3 linked regions of the Diceros bicornis minor genome follow. The protein of the gene in region 3 purifies or fractionates together with the protein of the main gene of each other region. This does not show direct contact. Links are inferred from orthologs where the notes say so. Each region holds a gene or a part of one and is shown on either strand. Other genes may lie near its edges.

Region 1 (6,601 bases), about 3.8 Mb from region 3:
CCTACTATATGACTCAGTTTTTATGACATTGACATATGAGGAAACCACATTTGTTGTCCTAGTCAATGTCCCACATAGGATTTGTTTGTCCGCTTCCTCATGAGGGTCCCATGAATAGAAGTTAGTTATAAGGGCTTGATTCATTTCAAGTTCAACTTTTTTTTTTTGGTGAGGAAGACTCACTCTGAGCTAGCATCTGTTGCCAATCTTCCTCTTTTTTTGCTTGAGGAAGATCCACCCTGACCTAACATCTGTGCCAATATTCCTCTATCTTGTATGTGGGTCGCCGCCACAGCATGGCTGACAAGTGGTGTAGGTCTGCTCCTGGAATCCGAACGCGTGAACCTGGGCCACCAAAGTGGAGCACACTGGACTGAACCACTAAGCCAAGGGGCTGGCCCCAAGTTCAACTTTTTTTGAAAGTACACTCCACAGTGGTGCTGTGTGTTTCCTGCTGCATCAAATTAGTAGGCATTCAATATCTGGTTGTCCCACTCTTAGATGTGCTAAGATTGGTCAGTGGGTTTAGGTGGTGACAGCATGATCTCTCCCTTGTAAAGACCATTATCAAACATTTCCCTAAAGTTTTCACCCACTGACTATCTTTGCCTGAATTATTTAGTACAAAATAGAATTGAGATGGTTCTATCAGAGGGTAAATGCCTATACAAATTTGCTAGATATCGCCAAACTCTCCTCCATTGTAGTTGTAACCATTTCATATTCCAGCCAACAATGTATGAGATTTTATTCTATTTCACCCCAGCATGACCAACCCAGTATGTTTTCAAACTTTTGATTTGCACCAATATGATAGGTGGGAGATGTTATCTCAGTATGTATTTAATTTGCGTTGTTCTTATGTTGAGCAAGGATGAGGGCATTGGGTTTTGACACAGGAAAAAAAGGCATTAAAGACCCTGTGATGCTAAAGATCTTGAACATGCATCCAATTATTTCCTCCCTTATTTTAAAAAAAATATCCTTGCATCAAGCTTGGTAGCCAATTTCCTCTTTCATCAGTAAAAATTCTCTCCTGAACTGCCATAATTCCCAGGAAGTTAAATGGTGAATTGCCCAAGGCCACACAAGAGAAATCAGGATTTGAAAGCACATTTCTCTGATGACAAGTTCCTTGATTAGTGTCACTCCATTACACCACATTACACCAACCCTGGAGCAGTGGAACTTCCAAGGAGGAACGAAAATCTCCTACTAAGAAGTTCAATGCAAGACAGATCCCCAAGAGTGGGTGGGCAGCTCGTAAACAAAGCAGCAAGATGAAATAATCATCTGGGTTAAGAAAGCATTAAGAGAAGTAAGGATGATTCATGAGCACATGGTTCTATCTTTATAGATATATATTTGAGATATGTAGCAATTCCTATAGATATTTGGATAAGGCAGTTGAATAGGGAGAAATTCACATGCAGTTTATAACAACTGACATTGCGTGATGTTAATTGTGAGAGTTAGTAAATGTAATCCATTTTAAAACATTGGATGCTAGATATGCTTGCATGACTTCTTCTATCTGAAATTAATTAATTAAAAATTAATTAATTGATAATGTGTAGGATGGTTTTGTTGCTTAAAAAGGCCTTGGAGGAAATAGTGAGACGTTGGTCAAAGGGCGCAAACTTCTAGTTAGTAGATGAATAAGTTCTGGGTATCTAATGTACAGCATACTGATGATAGTTAATAATACTGTCTTATATACTTGAAAGTTTCTAAGAGAGTAGATCTTAAATGTTCTCACCACAAAAAAGAAATGGTATTTATGGGACAAGGTGGAGATGGTAGCTACTGCTATGGTGATAATCATTTTATAACGTATAAGTGTATCACATCAACACGCTGTACACCTTAAACTTACACAGTGTTATATGTGAATTTCAATAAAGTTGGGGAAAAACAGGCCTTGGAAATTACTCTTAGGGTTAACTCTGACCCTCGGATAACAGAAACCACCTTTCCCAAGAATGTCAGTTGATCAAAGTGGAAAAGGCTCAGCAGGAAAACAAAGGAATTTTCTCATCAACATCAGATTGTCTAAAGGGGGCCAAGTATCTCTGACTAGATAGACTTTTCTTGGTCTCTCTTCATGGGGACACATCACTGCTGTCCTCCAGGACGGGAACTTCAAAGGACCTGAAGGTCTTCAAACCCAAGCCTAATATCCTCTTTTCTTCCACCCAGAGAAGCATCCTTGCACTAACTTTGTATACCCAGATAATCCCTCCCACCTGCACCAGCTCCTTCCCCAAAAGGCACAGTGCCAGAGAATGTTAAAAATGGCCTTTGTTTACCAGTGGCTAGCAGCTTTAGCCAGGGAATGGGCTGTTCTCTGCTATGGTGTCCAATTGCTTTCTGTTTCCATTGACATCTGCCATTTTTCACGTCATTTGACCCATGGAAATCTTACCTTTTCAATTGTCCCATCGTGTCTAGACATATCTGGATTCATTCAGCATCCAAACACTTTTGAGCACCTGTTCTGAGCTAAGCATAGCATAATCACAGGCAGCTTCAGCAGAAAATGGGCACCTATTATAGCAGAAACAGTGGTGTGCTCTCTGGAAGGGACACCAGTAGCCAGAGAGAAGGGGAAAACTGGTGATTTAGGGTGATATACAAGGCTCCAACCCAGTGCCGGGGAGCTTGACTTCAGCATTGCAGCCCCATCCCCGTACATCACTGATTCTGTTGTGTAATCAAACATGCTCTCAGCCACTTCTGTGAGTCACACTTGGGCCACTTATAGGCTGAAAAGTCTTGGTCACTTTATCACCCCCACCCTTCTCATTTCCTGAATCTTGCGAAATTGGTGGAGTCCCACAGAACAACTTCATCTCATTGCTACCAATCAGAGGAGAAAGAGGTACCACAGCGGGCCCCATTAGGCCAGCTGCCTCCACTTCCCTTCTCAAGGCCGTCGCCCACTGGATTTCAGGGATACGAGAGGGCTCTCCATGGATCTGCCTTATTACCACGGGCCTCTGTCCAAGAGAGACTGTGAGACCTTGCTGCTCAAGGAAGGGGTGGATGGCAACTTTCTGTTAAGAGACAGTGAGTCTCTTCCAGGAGTCCTGTGCCTCTGTGTCTCGTGAGTAGCCTCATCTTCCATGCATTTGAAACTTTGTATTGAATGTAGTAATGATAACCAAAGTCCTAATGAGCAGGGTGAGAAATAGCTGGACACTGCAAGGAGAGGTTGGAAGGAATGTGTCTGTCTAAGCTTCTCCAGCTGCGCTTCTCTCCCTGGTACAAATGCCACAGGAGCAGACTCTCTGGAATAGCCAAAGTGGGGGGCAGTGGTGGTGAAGGGAAGGGCTGCAGGAAGCATGGGCGGTGAGGGGAAATGCAGAGAAGGTAGCCATGTGAGAAAGGTCCTTTCCAGTAGAAGTCACTTTATTTGGAAATATAACCGTATGGAAAAGGCTAGGGACCTTTTATGAAATTTCAGCTTGAGAGAACACGTTTTTACATGTATTCTGCTGGCTCCACTTGCAATACTTAAAATACTTATTATATTTCAAATTTTGTTAGATTTGTAAAGGGCTTCACACACATCATTTCCTTTCATCCTTCTTGTCATCTGTCAAGGCAAGCATAAGCAGTCCCCATTTTCTAGATGAGAAACAGAGACCTGGAGTTCTCAAATGACTTGCTTGTGTTAAAATTCATCTGGCATTTCCAAAGGTCTGAGTTCAGTATGAAATTCCAGGCCAGAGTATCAGAGCTACCATGTTTAGCCCAGTTTAGAAAGCAATTCAGAACACATATCAGCGGGAATCCACTATCTTTAAGTATCCTCCTCTTTACAGAGAACACTGAACTTTTTCTTCTACCTGTTATAGGAATTAAAACTCAAATTTCTCTATGGATGCACTTCAGTGCTTCTTAGAATTAGGGAGCTATGAGTACAAATTCAAAGAATGATGACATACCATTTTTGCCTATTCAATGGGCAAGAATTAAAACTATGAAAATACTCAGAGGTAATTAGAGTGCTGGGAAGCAGACAGCCTTGCACACGCTAATGCAGCCTCTTTGGATGGTAATGTGGCCAAAACATAATATACATGGATATAACCCTTGACCTCAAATTTCACTAATAAAAATCTATCTTATAGTTATGACTCCACAGTATGTGCAAATTGGCATTAACAAGATTGGGCAAATCTATGTATGGTGTGAAAAACCTCTAAGATCTATTGTTGTGTAAAAAAGGCAAGATGCAAAGTTTGATTCCATTTGTGTAAAAAAAAAAAGATACCTATATCCTTGTATATTCATATAAAATTTCTAGAAGGTATACAAGAAACTTATAATAGTGGTTACAGCTGGGAATTTAGATGGAGTGAGTTAGGAAAAGGGTTGTGGATTCATTCTTTTCATTTGATAACTTTTTTTTACTGTTTAAATGTTTTATTTGTGTGCGTATTATTTTTGTAATTTAAAAAATGTCTATAAAAATGTAGTGAATACCTACTATCTATTCAAACACTGTGCTAAGGCCTGGGAAGATTCTAAGGTGATTTCAAGCCTTCTAAGAAGGCTTAGAGGAGGTGGTATTTGAGCTGGGACTTAAAGAGTGGGTAAGATTTGGTTACATGGAAATGGGATGGAAGGCGTTTTAGGGAAGGGTGGAGGTAGGAAAAGAGGTCTAGAATAGAATATTTTAAAGCACACATGAATCACGTAGGGTGCTGGAAAGGTAGTTTGGAAACCAACTTTCAGAAAAGTAGGTGTAGCATAGTATTATGGGGTCTTTAAAAAAATGATTCTGTAGCTAATGGGGGAACATGGATGGTTTCTGAGCAGAGAAGTGACAAGACTGGTGCTGAGTTTAGGAACTCCAATCTGATATGGAGAATGTACCGAAGCTGACAGATGATGGCCATAGAGACTGTTGTGTCTCTGGATGGGAGATGGGGAGGAACTAGCTATGGTGGGGCAAGCAGTGGGAAGAGAAAAAAGAAGAAGTTGCAAGGGTGTGACCTTGACCAAGATCTCAGGGTAAGTAGTCTATTTTGGGATTCTCTTTAAAAATTGACATTTATTCTCAACTGTTCTGTGGTGTATCAATCTAGCTTATATATTCATCTAAAGAGAAAGTCACTAAGAAATGTAAAAAATAATAATAATAAATCAAATGGAGAGGCAAGAACCAATATTTGTTGGGCACCTGCACATGATCAAGCCTCACCCTACTCCTTGCCCATGTCACTGAAAGGCAGACAAAATTTCAGGAACCCTCAGGCTTAAGGCTCAGGCCAAATAGCCCACATCAAAATGGCTCTCATCATAGTCCTTGTGAAATTTTGTTATCACACAGATCAGTACAGACCATTCAATTCTAGTTGCTCAACAATTATTTAAAGTCTCTCTGGGCCGGCCTCGTGGCTTAGCGGTTGAGTGCTTGCACTCCGCTGCTGGCTGCCGGGGTTCGGGTACCGGTCGTGCACCGACGCACCGCTTGTCCGGCCATGCTGAGGCCGCGTCCCACATACAGCAACTAGAAGGATGTGCAACTATGACATACAACTATCTACTGGGGCTTTGGGGGAAAAAAATAAATAAATAAAATTATAAAGTCTCTCATATGCCAGGCACTATGCTAGACCCTCAGTTGGTGCCTTCAACACCGCTCAGAGCCTGGAGGAAGCAATAGGGAGGTAAATGGACACTGTGAGGTGTGGGATAACTGTAATGACCACTCTCAGCAGGGCAACTTCTAGTTTTCACAGACTGAAATACAAAAACTATAGGAAAGGTTAGAAATAAAGGAAGGAAGTCACAGAGACAGTTGGCCCAGCAGGATATAGCATTGACCAGAAAGCTATGTGGTAACAGTGGACAGGAAATCTTACCTGATCTCAGTATGATATAGCTTCCAGAAAACACCAACGTGCAAAATGTTGTCTGTGTAGTGTGACTTTGTGGGTGTCAGAAGTTGAAGCTAGGTCTGCCTTTAGAATCAGTACAGTCAAAATGAAGTGGATATTAGGAGATGGAAGGGACTCATCTGCAGCGTGAAGGTGAGGAGAGACTTTCTGTAGCCGCAGGAAGGCTGCAGGTGAGAAGAACCTGAACCTTGACTTACTGCACGAACTCACTGAGGAGGAAACAGCAATAGAAAGAATGAGTAGAAGAGACCTCAAGAGTCATCTCCAGCTCTCAGATTTTGAGCTCTTTGGAAAGACTCTAGAGTTCAGAAAGAAAAAATAATTCAAAATTTTTGTTGTTTTAGAAAATCAAATGCAGAGAAAGAATAAAAAGGAAAGCAGAAATTATCTCAATCTCACCACTCAGAAATCACGCTTTCTGATATTTCAGCACCCATCTCTCCAGACTTCTCTCTATGCATATGCACGTATAAGCAAATATATATGTGCATAAATGGTTCATGTTACATGATGGCCTGTTTCTTTCAATGTATTGTAGGTATCTTTCCACGTCAGAGAAAGCCAATACACATCATCCTTTCACGACCGCTTAGTATTTTATTGATTGGATATATCATAATTTAGACATAAGCACACAATTAGGTTATTTCCAATTTGGTCCAATGGATCCAATGTAATTTGAGACTATT
Region 2 (6,601 bases), on a different chromosome or scaffold from region 3:
AAACTTATTTATTGCAAATAATTGGAAGAAAAATTTCTCTCTTTAAATGAAGGTGAGCAATACCATAAATGGAAAACTTCTTTAGTACTTTATGAGATGCAATTTCCCAAAACTGAAGAGAGGAAAGGACATATCTAGAGGCCGTGACTGGGGGTTCAGAACTGGGAAAAGGAGCGAGCATAGTTTGCAAGCATAGTTTAAAGTACAGTTCGAAAGGCATATGCAATGTGTTATTCCACAATAAAAGTACAGAAACTAAAGCTCAACCAAACCTTCCTGGATAATGGGAATAAACAAAAGACAGAATGAGAAACTATTCTGAACCAACCCTACAATCAATGCATGTTTATTAGCTATACCTTGCTGTTCATGTGTATAGGACACCATTTATATTGTTATTTCTACTGCATATCATAAGCATATACATTTTTGTTTAAAATGAGTACGTGGTTTATTTCAAAATAAAATTTAATTTTGTTACTACAGTGTAGTACTAAAAAGGGGGAATAAAATGTTTACGTTTATCAAAAGGGACTCTTGGCTCAAAAAGGTTGAGCAACTGTCATAAAAGGCAATGTATCCTTGTGTCTTCCCTCAGCAGCACAGTGTGGCAATCACCCTCTAAGACGTGGTGGCTCCAGTGCGCCCATCAAAAGACATGCTAGACGGACTCCCAATTTGCCTATTATTTTTTTGCTACTTCATAAAGAGGTTTGCATGGAGAACTAAGAGTCATCAAAACTGCATTTATGTAAGATTCACTTTGGGTGAAAACTTAAATGTTTGAGAATTTCCCACCAGCCTAAATTAATTCCATATGTGGTCCTGGCCTACATGGGCAAAGGCCTAGAGTTGTCCACCTCTCTTGAATATTTTACCAACAGTAATCTTATGCAGAAGGTGGGGCACACATCCCTATTCCTGTTTTACAAATATGGAAACCAAGACCCAGAAAAGTTGAGTGACTTCTCGAGACTACACCCTGGCCTCCTGATATCAGCCCAAAGCTCTTTGCAGTAAAGAACAGTATTTGCCTTGACAATTCATTCATTAATTCAAAAATATTTATTGAGTGCCCATTACATACCTCCTAATGTGCATCATAATGCCTATTATGTGCCAGGCTGTGTTCCTGGTGCATGAGAAAATGTCCCTGCCCTCGTGGAGATTACTTTTTAACAGGAGAGCCTAGCAATAAATAAATAAACAAGGAAATGTCAGATAGTTTAAAGCTCCTTGAAGAAAAATAAAATAAAGTGATAGAGTGTAACAGAGACGGAGAGAGGGCACTTATTTTAGATAGGGTGGTCAAGGAAGTCCTCTCTGAGGGACGAGGCGGAAGGAACAGTAAGTGCAAAGATCCTAAGAGGGGAGCATGCCTGGCAAGCTTAAAGAACAACAAAAAGGCCAGTGTGGCTGAAGCCTTAGGCGCATCTTGCCACACACTGTCCCCTGCTCTCCCTCCCCTGCCCAGGCTTCTGTACCTTACTTTTGACCTCTAGGTTAAGGGGCCCATTACCTCCTACGTCAGCTTCCCTAAAGAAGCCCCTTTTGCTGGCCTACTCACTCCTCCACCTTCTTTTGATAAGAAAAGGGCCTAAGAATACTAGTTGGTTTTCATTGACCTTGCCCAGTTTCCACCTGGGAAAAACAATAATATAAGCAAAACATAAAGATCTGAGCCCAAGAGATTCAACGGCTTCCACGTACTTCCCTTGAAGCCTTTATAATAAATGTATTTAGCATGGCCTGAGAGTTGCCCCACACATGGCTTGACCATTTAAAAAAATAAAGAAAATCCTCTAACACCTCAGCATAATCTTTCTTCACTGACCCAGAGGGTACTTCAAAAGCTCACAGTGTATCATTAGGTACCAAAATTACTACCAAGAATTTTCCCTCATTTTGTTTCTGTCTAGAACCTATTGTGCAGAGCCAGTCTTTTCATGGCTATTTTTATCCTGCTGACAAAAAGTGATTGAGCTAGGTACTTCCTTAGAAATGCCCCATGAGTACTGAAAGAAATCGACTGAAGAAAAGCATATATTAATAACTACAGCTTACATTTACTATGTATCAGGTCCAGTGCTAAATTTTTTACTTGCATTATGGCATTTAATCCTCACAATCCTATGAAGTAGGTAGTCATATTATACCCATTTTATGGACCAGAAAACTGAGAGACTGAGAAGTTAACTTGCCAAGGTCACAAGCCTAGCATTGGACAAGCACAGGATTAAGTCTCAGTTCTGCCTGACTCTGGAGCCCTGGAGCAAAGATGAAGGTGCATCTGCTTCAAAATGAGGTGTCAGACTAAGACATGCCTAGGTAAACGGCAAAGTTGAATCACAACAAGGGTGTTTTCCCTCCATGCCCTTTACGACTGTTGTCAGTCCTAGTTTATATCAAGAAAGGGTCTTATTTCTGAAACCCCCTGCCCCCACACAACTCCTCTAAAGGAAGCTAAATAAGCAGATCCAGAGAGTCAGTTTCACTCACAAACATCTCCGTCTCGGCGTCCTGACCTAACTGGCATTGCATTCTTAGTAGTGGATTCAGTTTCTTAGTCTTCTTCCTCTCCCTGAATGTGATGGTCTTCTTTTCACATGACACCTCCGAATCCATTTAAAGAGATCTAGGGAGAGGCCCTTCATTCTCTCAGGAGCTGGTGGCCCCAAATCTGGCCTGTCCACCCTCCTAGGGTTCCAGCTTGCTGGCCTCTAATGGAGGTCAAAACGGAATTCGGGAGTCTGGGTCTTTCTCGGAGCAAAGGTAAATTCTAGGCTGCGTTTCCCTACCCCAAAGGGCATTCTCTGCAGCTGCCCTAAACGGCCCGGGCGAGGCCCTTCTGGAGAGCGGGAGGGCCCAGGGAGTGAAATCTCCACTGGGGGCCTAGGCCAAAGCATGGTCCACCACAGCCCTGGGCTGGCTCTGAGAAAGCCCTTAGGGCTCTCTGGTGGGCAGTGGAGGAGGCCTCGACGAGCTCCTGCTGCCCACCCGTTGCCTACTGAGGCCTCTGGCCCCCCGCCGCCCGTGCCCACTGCCCGTGCCCGCTGCCCGTGCCCTCTGCAGGCCCCAGCCCCAGCCGCGGCCGCGACGTACTCACAGCACACACAGGCAGTACACGCCCGGGACACTCTCGCTGTCCCTCAGCAAATAACTGCCGTCCAGACCCGTGGCGAGCAGGAGCTTCTCCCCGGTCTCCCGGCTGATTTTGCCATGATACACAGTCACCGCATCCATGGCTTGGTGGACTCTTGGGCGGGCCGAGGCGTGGGACGGTTGAAGGGATGGCAACCAGGCACGAGTCAGCCACCTGACTCCCAGTTCAGCCAGATGTGCAAAAAAGAGAGGGGAGCGCCCTAACAACAGGATGTTGTCTACCTGCCTTAAAACCTCCTTCTCACACTTCAATTAAAACCTGCTCAGCGATTCAGCAGCTTGGTTATCGCCACAGGGTTTGATCCCCTCCCCACTCGCCCCTCCTAACCCGCCCCCCCCAAAAAAAAACAGGGTTCATACGGAGAGGGGAGGACAATTGGAAGAAGGTCCTTGCAAGATGTGGGCGGCACTGCCAATGCAGACCCTTGCACGCAGGAATGCTTGATAATGCTTCTGTTCTTGCATTTTCCCAGGGACCGAACACCAGGGGTGACTTAGCTTAACTATTCCCAAAAGGGAGTGATGATAGAGGCAAGTTGTACATGGCCTTCATGCGGGCAGAAAAATACTGACAGAGAATGAAAGGGCCAAAAGCTCTGAGACCAAAACTGAGCATAGCCAGGAGGCTCCTACAGAATCAGAAGTAGTAGGTGAACAAGGGACTTGGGGCAAGTATCTTCTCTCCCTCCCTAGGCCCCCTCCTCTTCTGCTCCTCCTAGTCTTCTTGAGCAATCTTGATCTTGAACAAATACAGATTTTTCCTACCTTCTTGTCCAAGATCCCAAAGTGCTGCTTGAGGTACAAAAATTACTCTATGTCCAGACATGTTCCAGATTTAGCTATTTGATGGGCCTTGAATGAGAGAATGTATCATTTAGTGGTGTTTTGTCTTTATGTGGACTTGTATATGCCCTCTGATGTCATAGGGCCCACCTTTCAGAATTTGGGGCATAAAACTTGTTTTAAATCATATTGCAAGTGTTGATAATTGTGTTGTAACTTTTATCCTCTGTTGTTAATAGAGAATATGTTTTTTCTCCAGTTGATGCTAAATTATCATTAATTTTTTAAAACCTTTCAACCTTCATTTCCTTCTCTGAAATAAAGCCATGCTTTTATTTCAAAATGTGCTGTTAAGTAATATTTCCCGTAAACTTCCTCCTTTTTCGCTAGAATAAGACTTTGTTTAATGCTTGAAGCTGAACGGTCTTATACATTTTTCCTTTTGATTATGTAAAATACTTTTAAAATTGGAATTTAAATAGCTGAAGTTACGTTGTCTGTTGTATATCTTCCACAACTTCAGCGCCTAGTTCCTTGAGAACACGGCAAGGCTGGGAGTTCGAAAGGGAGAACAATTTTTAAGTCCTCACATGTCCTACCAATGGATCGGATGCACAGAGCTGCCTTTGCACCAAAGCTAGATATTTGCTATCCTCCCGCTAGGGTTGAGAATAATCCTCTAAGATTTCATTGGCAGCTCTCCTTCTTGATTGAAGTATGCCCAGCCTTAGAATCTATCAATCTTAGTAGATAAAACATGAACATAAGCCTCCTACAGTCATTTGCAATACCAAAATTAAAAAATAAATAAATAAAATAGCATTCAAGATGATATTTGGGGATGGCTCTGGGGAATTGAATCAAGATTGTCTTATCATCTTCCTACCTCATTCATTTATGGCCAACTCCACCTCTCATCCTTTTTCACGCTTTGGGTTAAGGAAGAAATTGACCTGATAATACACCAATGTTAAGGATGTGAGAGGTTAGTCCACCCTGAAATCTTTATATTTTGAGCAGGCAAATGCTTAGCCCAGAGAAATTAATCACAATGGTGGAATTTCAAACACGAAAGGAAAAGGTAGGGAAGGGGATCCCCTCATCCAATCCATATGGACAACAGCCCGCCTGTGAGGTAAACTGTGAGAACATTCAGTGTCACATAGGTAAAAAGAAAACTCCAGCCTTTTTGTCTCTGAACAACCCTGAACAAATCATCCGCAAACTTAAGAACAGAGCAACCTGGATCTGACAGCAAAAGCGTACCATGCATTCTTCTTTTCGTTCTCTGTTTTGTTCCGTATTGCTAAAATAGCACAGCTGTCAAAGCACCCAGGTACGGTGGGGTTCAGCACAACTAAAATCGTATAATAAAAGAACAGACAAATTATAAGGTAATAGTACAACTCTCACATCCAGTCCCTCATTGTCATCTCACAAGCAAGCTGACAGCTGAGCCAGCCCACTACTGCAGTGTTGATGAAAAACACTGACATCTTCACTCTAGTGCTACACCGTTACTAAACCTGACTTGAGCAAATTCAAAACTTCACGCTGAGCTTGAAGTGTGGAGAAAGAGAGATTGAAATGGCTCTCTTCCTTCTCTCTCACCATACCTACAAGAGAGGAAAGGGGAAAAGCTGAAAGAGGGGAGCAGTAGAGATAGTGGAGGCACCAATAGAGAAAGAGTTAGGAAGAATGGGCCCCAAATACAAGTATAATCCACTTAGAAGCGGACTTATCTGATTGTTTATTGTCTGTCTTCCCCACTAGAACATAGGGTCCATGACATCAGGATTTTGTGTACCTTGTTCACCACTGTGTAGCCGGCATCTGGCACATATTAGATGCTAAATGTATTTATGAGTGAACAAATGAATGAACTTAGTGCTCTCAAGAAAATAAGAGAAAAAAATACACACACACACACACACACAAATTTGATTCTCCATGCCTCTGGCCCACCTTTGAAATGGCAAGATGAATTGGAAGGAGGACTAGTCCAGCAATTATGAGAGTCAAATTATATTCCATATTTCGCCACTAAATCACTTCCTCTCTCTGAGTCTCATTTTCTCCATCTGTCAAACGGAGTTGAACCAGATGACCCCTAAGGCCACTTCCAGCTTTAACATTCTGTGCTTTAAACAAAAGCCGAACGTACTTTAGAGAGAAACAGAGGGGAAAAGGACTGAGCTCATTTGTGTGCAAGAAGCAAGAGCTGTTTCCTCAGGTCTCACCCAATAGAGGAAAGATCTTTATTCTTGTTGTTTTTAAATGATGCAAGAAATAAAAATCATGAGATGGAGGAAGAGGGCTTCACAGTTTAAAGCAAAGTACAACCTTTTAGAATACAGATGCCATTTAAATCAAATATAAAAGCACTGACAAACTGTCAGCCAAGGTTGAAAGTGTCTTCTTATCTAAACTTGACACCTCCTGAGGTCTCCGAGAGGTGACAGAATTTTACATGTGGATGCCCTGTCTGAGGTGCTAATTGTCTTCATTTCAAATGCTCTAGGCTATTCTCAAACCCAGGTAGATTAAAGGGATGATGCCAAGGGTGGTCAATTTTATAGAGTGGATCTGACATTTCAAAATCCTTTTCTCTAACCTTTCAAAACTAACTTTGTTCTTCAACTAGCTCATCTATAGG
Region 3 (6,601 bases):
ACTGATTGCTTATACCTCTTTCGTTTCCAGCTTCCACATAGATGAGCCTAGTTACCCTCAAACTTGCAAATTCATCCCTCTCCAAGATTCAAGACAAGAAAGGTTTGATTCAGGAAATACCTGAGTAGCCTAGCACTGACCTTTGGGCATCTGCTGTGAAGGCACTATGGCTGCTTTGTTGGTTACGATATTGATTTCCAGGGCTGAGCAGGCTGACAAGATGGGTCTTTACTCCCTCCTACTGGAGTCCTGTGTTATCATAGGGACACAGCGTCCTGGCCTCTATTTGGAAACTGGATTTTCCAGCTGATGTCCTGATATCCAGTTTTCCTCATTCATGATATTACTTTTCCATTTCTATAACTGAGCTTCTGCTTTTGAGGCTTTTCTGAGTGTCTGTGGTAGTAGTCTGCTCAAATCTCTTTCTAGAACAGAGGCTTTGTTTTCATCTTAAAGGCTCCTCTCTGCAAGGATTTTGGACTAGTGGCAAATTGGCTCTTGCCAGGACTCTTCTCCAGGTGTGAAATCCTGTATCTAACCCCCAGAATGATGGTTGGGGCCTACTTATTCACGGACAGATATCCAGATGAGCCCACTCATTTTTTGGACTTCTAAGTATTAACTATTGGAATGCCCCACGACTGTGTTCTAGATTCAACAGGACATCAAGACTTTGTTGATACTGGACCCTTGTTTGTCTTGAAGAAGCTAATTCAAGTCAACCCAAATCGTATCGATGAGGATGGTACTTGAACCATGTCGGAATATGGTATTTTCCTTTGGTATTCCGCCTTGCTGGCCTGCCTAAACTTTTGTTATTGACAAAAGCCTGCCCACCAAACCCCACCCTCCTCTACAGGTGGGTGTAGAAACAGGCCCAGGCCTCTGACTAATCCTATCTTGTTGAGAATAAATCACTACTTTTCACTAAAAATTCCCGCAATGTGATAACTATCAATAGTAAGGACAGTATTTTATTCCACTTCAGCATCAAAGTTGGTGGAGGCAGCATTGCTCAGTGGTTAAATCTAAAGACACTGGAGTTCAAATCCTACTTCCTCTATTTTTTGGTTAAGTGACCTCTAATTTTCTGCATCTCAATGTTTTTATCTGTAAAATTGAAATATATGAATAGTACCCATCTCATAGAGCATTCTGAGGATTAAACAAAACAATAAATGTAGACTACTTAGAGTAATGCCAGACATGTAGTGATTGTTCCATAAATGGTTAGTTATTACTATTATTGGTGGGAGATAGGAGAAGGGAGCAAGGGGAAGGGTTGAAGAAATAAGCCAGAAAGATGTGGAGAAAAGGAAGAATTAAAAGAATGTGAGAGAGAACATGTAGAGAGAAATGGGCATGGAGCAAATGTGGTAGACTCATTCTGTCTTCTATGCCAGAGAGTGGGTGGCTACTTGGAGGGACAGTCAGAGTCACAGTGATCACAAGTCCTGATGAGCAAGTTGAAATCAGAGCATGACTATGAATCTTGGTTCTTAGAGAAAACTTTTCCAATATGGAAGAGTCACGAGTTCACACACTCAAGACTTCTCTTATTTCAGTGATTTCAAGGGAAAATGGGGATTTCTAATCTTCTTTTCCACTGCTTCTCAGCTGCTTCCATTGCTCTGAATTCCAGGGAAGTGCATAAAATCAGTGTTAACTTCTAAGCCTAATGCTAAATATAAGGGACCATGTTTGCCAGAAAGAGCAGCAGGAGGAGTTTAGAGTATATTTCTGCACTCAGGAAATGTTTGTGAAATAATCTTTATGAGGTGAACAGATCCATTCAGCAAAGACAAATGATACATGAAAGTACTTCTGGTTTTACTTTTATGAAAAGAAGCCCCCACCCCCATTTCAGGGATCCCTGACAAAATAAATATCTTACCCCTGGTTTCCTCTCTTAGAGCCCCAACAGCCCACACCTCAGCTCAAACTCCCACCACCTTTTCTCCTGCTCCTGTTCCTTGGACCATCCCAGATGGAAGAGCCTTGTCCAGGATCTCTGTGCAATAAAGCCTTAGCTCTTCCTAATATCACGTGACAAGCGAATGTGAAAGACAACAGCAGCGTTAGCTAATATATGTTAGGCACTTACTATATTCAGGCACTGCGCCAAGTGTTGCACATGAATTATCATTTTGCTTCTCAAAACAATCCTATTGTACTGATAGATTCCCCATTTTGAAGTCGAAACAACAGGGAGAGCTTATGTGACTTCCCCAAAGTCACAAATCTGGTGGATAAATGATTCACTACTAGCTGATTGACAACTTTGACTTCAGTTTCAGTAGATGAGGCAAGTGTATATTAGAGCTGCCTTTTATCGTAGCATGTGTTAGCCCTTTGAAGAGCATCAAGGATCTGAAAACTTAAAGAGTGAGGAGGTCAGAAAGAGTGTAGAGCAGACAGAGCTATAGCCTTGGGGTGAGAAGAACCAATGTCCATTTCCAGCTCTACCAATTTCTGGTTGTGAAACTTCAGGTGAATTCTTTAACCAGAATCTTAGTTTATGCTTTTTTTTTGTTTGCATGATGGGATTAATAATATCTATCTTGCTTATTTCAATGGTTTTAGTATGGATAACACAAAAATGTAAGCATAAAAATTGTAGAATGCTTTGCAAAGTAAGTATTATCAAATGCCAACCTGTCCATCCCTTTTCTGGAAGATTGGGGACATCCCTAGATTTCCACTTAGGTTCTATCCAACTCTTTTCCCCGTCTACTTGCATTTTCTATCTGCCGTGTCAGAGTGAATAGCATAGGCTCCAAAAACTTGGCCTGCCTAGTGGTTGCAATCTCCGTGAAGATCAAAATAAAGGAACCACAGCTTTAAATGGTTCAGAACCAGAGAGACCAAGGTGCATTGACTCCACCTTTCAGGAAATCCTAACTCACTAGATTCTCTGTGTCCTAACTCATGCCAGGAATTTGGTAGTGCATTTTCAGAGCAGGCAAGTGATACGTTAAGTAGATTTAGAAATGCCAAACATAGTCAATTTTTATATAAATAAGGCAATTGCTTAGATTTAGTGAGATGATATATGCAGTGACAAAACTCTCCCAGAGCTACGTTAATGTCACATAGTTTTCTTTGTACTAACAACCAATATTCATTTTGTCCTTTACAGTTTACTGCTAAGCCATAAGTAAGAAAAACAGCCTTAGTTCAAGTTCTCCATTTCTTTTTTGAGACCTAACTTATTTGTAAAATAGGGATAATAATCTCTTTCTCATTTATTTCTGCGAGCTTTTGGAGGATACAGCAGAGGAATAGCTCTGAATGTGCTTTGAAAATAAGGGGAGCTTATAGAGATGAAGTTTTTACAATGATAATTATAGTCATGCATTACTCTAATCTGCTGGAGAAATAAAATAGAATTGCAGATGGCGTAGCTCTGTAAAAACTATATAACCAAAACTATATATAACCAAAAACTATATATGCCAAAAAGAAATTGCTTTTGAGCTATTTAAGGTTTTGGATTATTTCTTCTTGCCAGGATTTCTGGGTGGGTCTACCAAGTGCTGACTCTCCTGAGCAGAAGAGTTTGTCTCAGACCTGTGGAGACTGGACACAGACAAAATTCAGAAATATAAACTCTAAAGCTGAAAAATAGTTAGGTTTAAATCTTAAGTCTTTCCCCAGCCAGTTGGATCTCTTTTGGGACCCCCTTTTAAAACAGATCAAAAGGGAATTTCAATGTCTTCCTTAAGGGCAATTTCTAAAACTTAATAGAAAACTAGGAGGGGATCAGCAAGGGTCAGAACTCACAGGTTTGCAGGCAAAGGAGCAAGATCCCTAGGCGGCGCTGAGCCATCTTCTCCCAGAGAATAATCTGTAGACAACAACGGCACTCTTCAAGCAGAGTCAGTTTCACTCTAGTTTTCTTGCTTCTTTTTATAGCCATCTTTAAGAAAGGAAGTGTGAGTTAACTGTTTAGGAAACGTTTGTCTATGTATTGGGATGGTAGTTTTTTTCCTACTACGTAACATAAGGTGCCTAGCATTAATTAGTTATTTATCCAACAAATATTTATGGAATGCCTACTATGTGCCAGGTACTATTCTGGGCACTGGCAATATAAAGAGCAACAAAGCAGTTGATCTCCCTCCTTTCATGGAGCTCATGATACTGAACCTCTTAATCTCAAGTTCATGCACCCAATGTGCAGTAAGCCAAACACTGAGACATTGGTGCTAGGAAATGGAGAAAGATTTATTCGAATTGGCCGAAACAAGAAGGTGAGAGCATGAGTTCACTCAAATCTGCCTTCCCAAGAGCAGAAAGCAGGGGAGTTTTATAGAGCTAAGGGGCTTGGCAAGAGGAGATTTGGAGAAACAAAGGGGTCATTCCTGATAAGCCTTTGGGCAATCTGACTTCTGGGCTTCAAGGGCTGCTGGGGGCCAGCCATCTGGTGATTGTAACCTTCCCAAAGGCATTCTCTTTCTTCTGCAAAACAAGCTCACAAATCTTCTGCAAAATAAGCTCACGAATCCTCGAGACCCCTGAGTCCCCTCTCAAGTTAAACAGGAAAACAGCAAATTGCTTATTGAACATCTACAGAACCCTCAGGTACTTGACTTTACTCATACTCTTGTTGGGGAGATCAACAATTAAACAGGCAGTTCCAATACGGTGTGATAAATGTTGCAAGAGAGAAACTATGGGGAACTGGGAGAGCAGCAGGGGCATCTAACCCAGGCTAGGAGAGTGTGGGGAAAGCTTCATGAAGGAACTGAGAACTAAGCTGAGACAGATCTTAAGAGTAAGTTAGCATTATTAGGAGAAAGGTGGTGGGGGAGAGGGAATAGGAAGAATGTGTTGACACGATAGGAGCTTAACAAATAGTAGCAACCAATATTGCGTAATTATAGTTATATATAATAGTATATAATAGGATTACATATAAATCTACTATATATAGTTATATAATAATAATTACATAATTATTATATAATTAATATTATTATACTATGGTTGAGCTAGGTGTAACATAGGACTGTTCTCTAGTAGAGGCCCCCCTACTACCGATTAGAAGAAAAACAGGGGCCTTCTTTGTGAGGGGTGTCAGGGAGTGGTGATGGGAATAAATATTTGGGTCCAGAAGTCAAGCAGTTTGAATTTGGACCCAGCTGTTTTGAGGAGTGCTAAGAAAGCTAAGGATAGACCCTGAGACTTGGGGAATGAAGATTGTATACAGCCTTTCCCACTGGGAGAAGTCCTTAGCCAGCTAGCACATTTCTAGGCAACCTGAGCCTCCAGAGTCACTTACTGAACAATCTTGCTCATCATTCTCCGTATATACTTGTTCAATATTGAATAGTTGAGTGCCTTTATGTAGATATAGTGAACTTGTTACTGGCACATTGGGTCCTTGTTGTCGCCCAGGATGGAAATCAAGAGAGACAGCAAAGGGGAGTAGAAAAGTAAAATTTTATTAGCTTGTGCGCAGGAGAGGCACAAGGGAGCTGGTGCAGAAAGGAAAGGGACAAGTGACCAGGTTGTTAGGGAGCAGGAGTGTGGGGTTTTTATTAGGCAAATGTTGGGGAGGAGTGCCTTGTCATGGCATGTAGAGATGGCGTTGTGCTTGCGCCTGCGCTGTTGTGTAGCATGCTACTACATGTGACACATGTATCATTATCATGCTAGCTATCCACCCCTGGGTGTGATTTTTACTATGCTAATTGGGCTAAGGTCACCTTTGGTGGACTCCTGGGTGCTAGGGCGCATGCGTAAGCCTGGGAAAGTCCCAAAACTGCAGAATGTGGATCTTGATGGTCTCTATCTGATTCTCCTAGCTTGCGGATTGGTTATGGGCCTTATCTTGTTAAGCCAGGGCTGTGCGTATGGCCCTGTCTCGTTAGGTTCCTGTCTTAAACTGGGCAGCCATTTGGGACCAAAGAAGGATTGAAAATAAAAATGGAATTTCCCAAATTAATTATTTCTTTTCACAAGATTCAACCATATTACTTTCAATATTTTTAGCAAGCAAGTATTCCTGAAATATGTAATTACTATGTGTGCAAAAATACACGTCTATCACATCTGAGTTCCACAGAGAAGGAGGAAAGAAGAAAGAATATGCAGTTGCCAAGAGTTGCTGAAAACCTGACTTTGTATTCTCTTTTTGGCTTCTTCATTCTCTGTAGGAACGATCCTCCTTCCTTTGTCATCTAAAACTCTTGCTTGGTCTCATGTCTATGTCTTGAGAAATCCTAGATTGGTATCTTACTCAAGCCCTTATCTCCTGTTGAGCCTGGACCAGTGTCTTATCTCTGTCTTTCAGCCTTAGATTGCCAGACAATTAGTGTATTTTTATCAAGAAGATACTCGCTTTTGAGACTTCTTCTATTGATATGATGCAGAAGGATACGAAAGTCTTTTCATTCCGTGGTAACAACAAGAAAGCCAAAATAAAAATCATACTGTTCTATGGGATATATAATGAATGGTGTATGCAAAAAACCCTTGATGGATGGAATTCCAGAAAGAAACGTGCCCTTTGTAGATGAGCAGAGAGCCAAATAGCTCAAGATCTGGAGCAGGAGACTGGTTTGGGATACAGACCAACAGAAGAGAGAGACTGCCG

Evidence for each region.
Region 1: the proteins of CD84 (region 3) and SH2D1B purify together in Homo sapiens (affinity purification with western blotting; 3 studies listed by BioGRID and IntAct, with this or other methods). This does not show direct contact. The link is inferred for Diceros bicornis minor from reciprocal best matches to the Homo sapiens genes CD84 and SH2D1B.
Region 2: the proteins of CD84 (region 3) and SH2D1A purify together in Homo sapiens (affinity purification with western blotting; 4 studies listed by BioGRID and IntAct, with this or other methods). This does not show direct contact. The link is inferred for Diceros bicornis minor from reciprocal best matches to the Homo sapiens genes CD84 and SH2D1A.

Annotation. Positions count from the first base shown.
Region 1 is NC_080743.1:69,029,355-69,035,955, reverse strand, and holds the start of SH2D1B (SH2 domain-containing protein 1B), read left to right. Parts: upstream 1-2,894; 5' UTR 2,895-2,972; coding exon 2,973-3,106; intron 3,107-6,601. UniProt on the Homo sapiens protein: Cytoplasmic adapter regulating receptors of the signaling lymphocytic activation molecule (SLAM) family such as CD84, SLAMF1, LY9 and CD244. In SLAM signaling seems to cooperate with SH2D1A/SAP.
Region 2 is NC_080781.1:114,108,572-114,115,172, reverse strand, and holds the start of SH2D1A (SH2 domain-containing protein 1A), read right to left. Parts: upstream 3,400-6,601; 5' UTR 3,244-3,399; coding exon 3,107-3,243; intron 1-3,106.
Region 3 is NC_080743.1:65,190,030-65,196,630, forward strand, and holds the start of CD84 (SLAM family member 5), read right to left. Parts: upstream 3,859-6,601; 5' UTR 3,830-3,858; coding exon 3,784-3,829; intron 1-3,783. UniProt on the Homo sapiens protein: Self-ligand receptor of the signaling lymphocytic activation molecule (SLAM) family.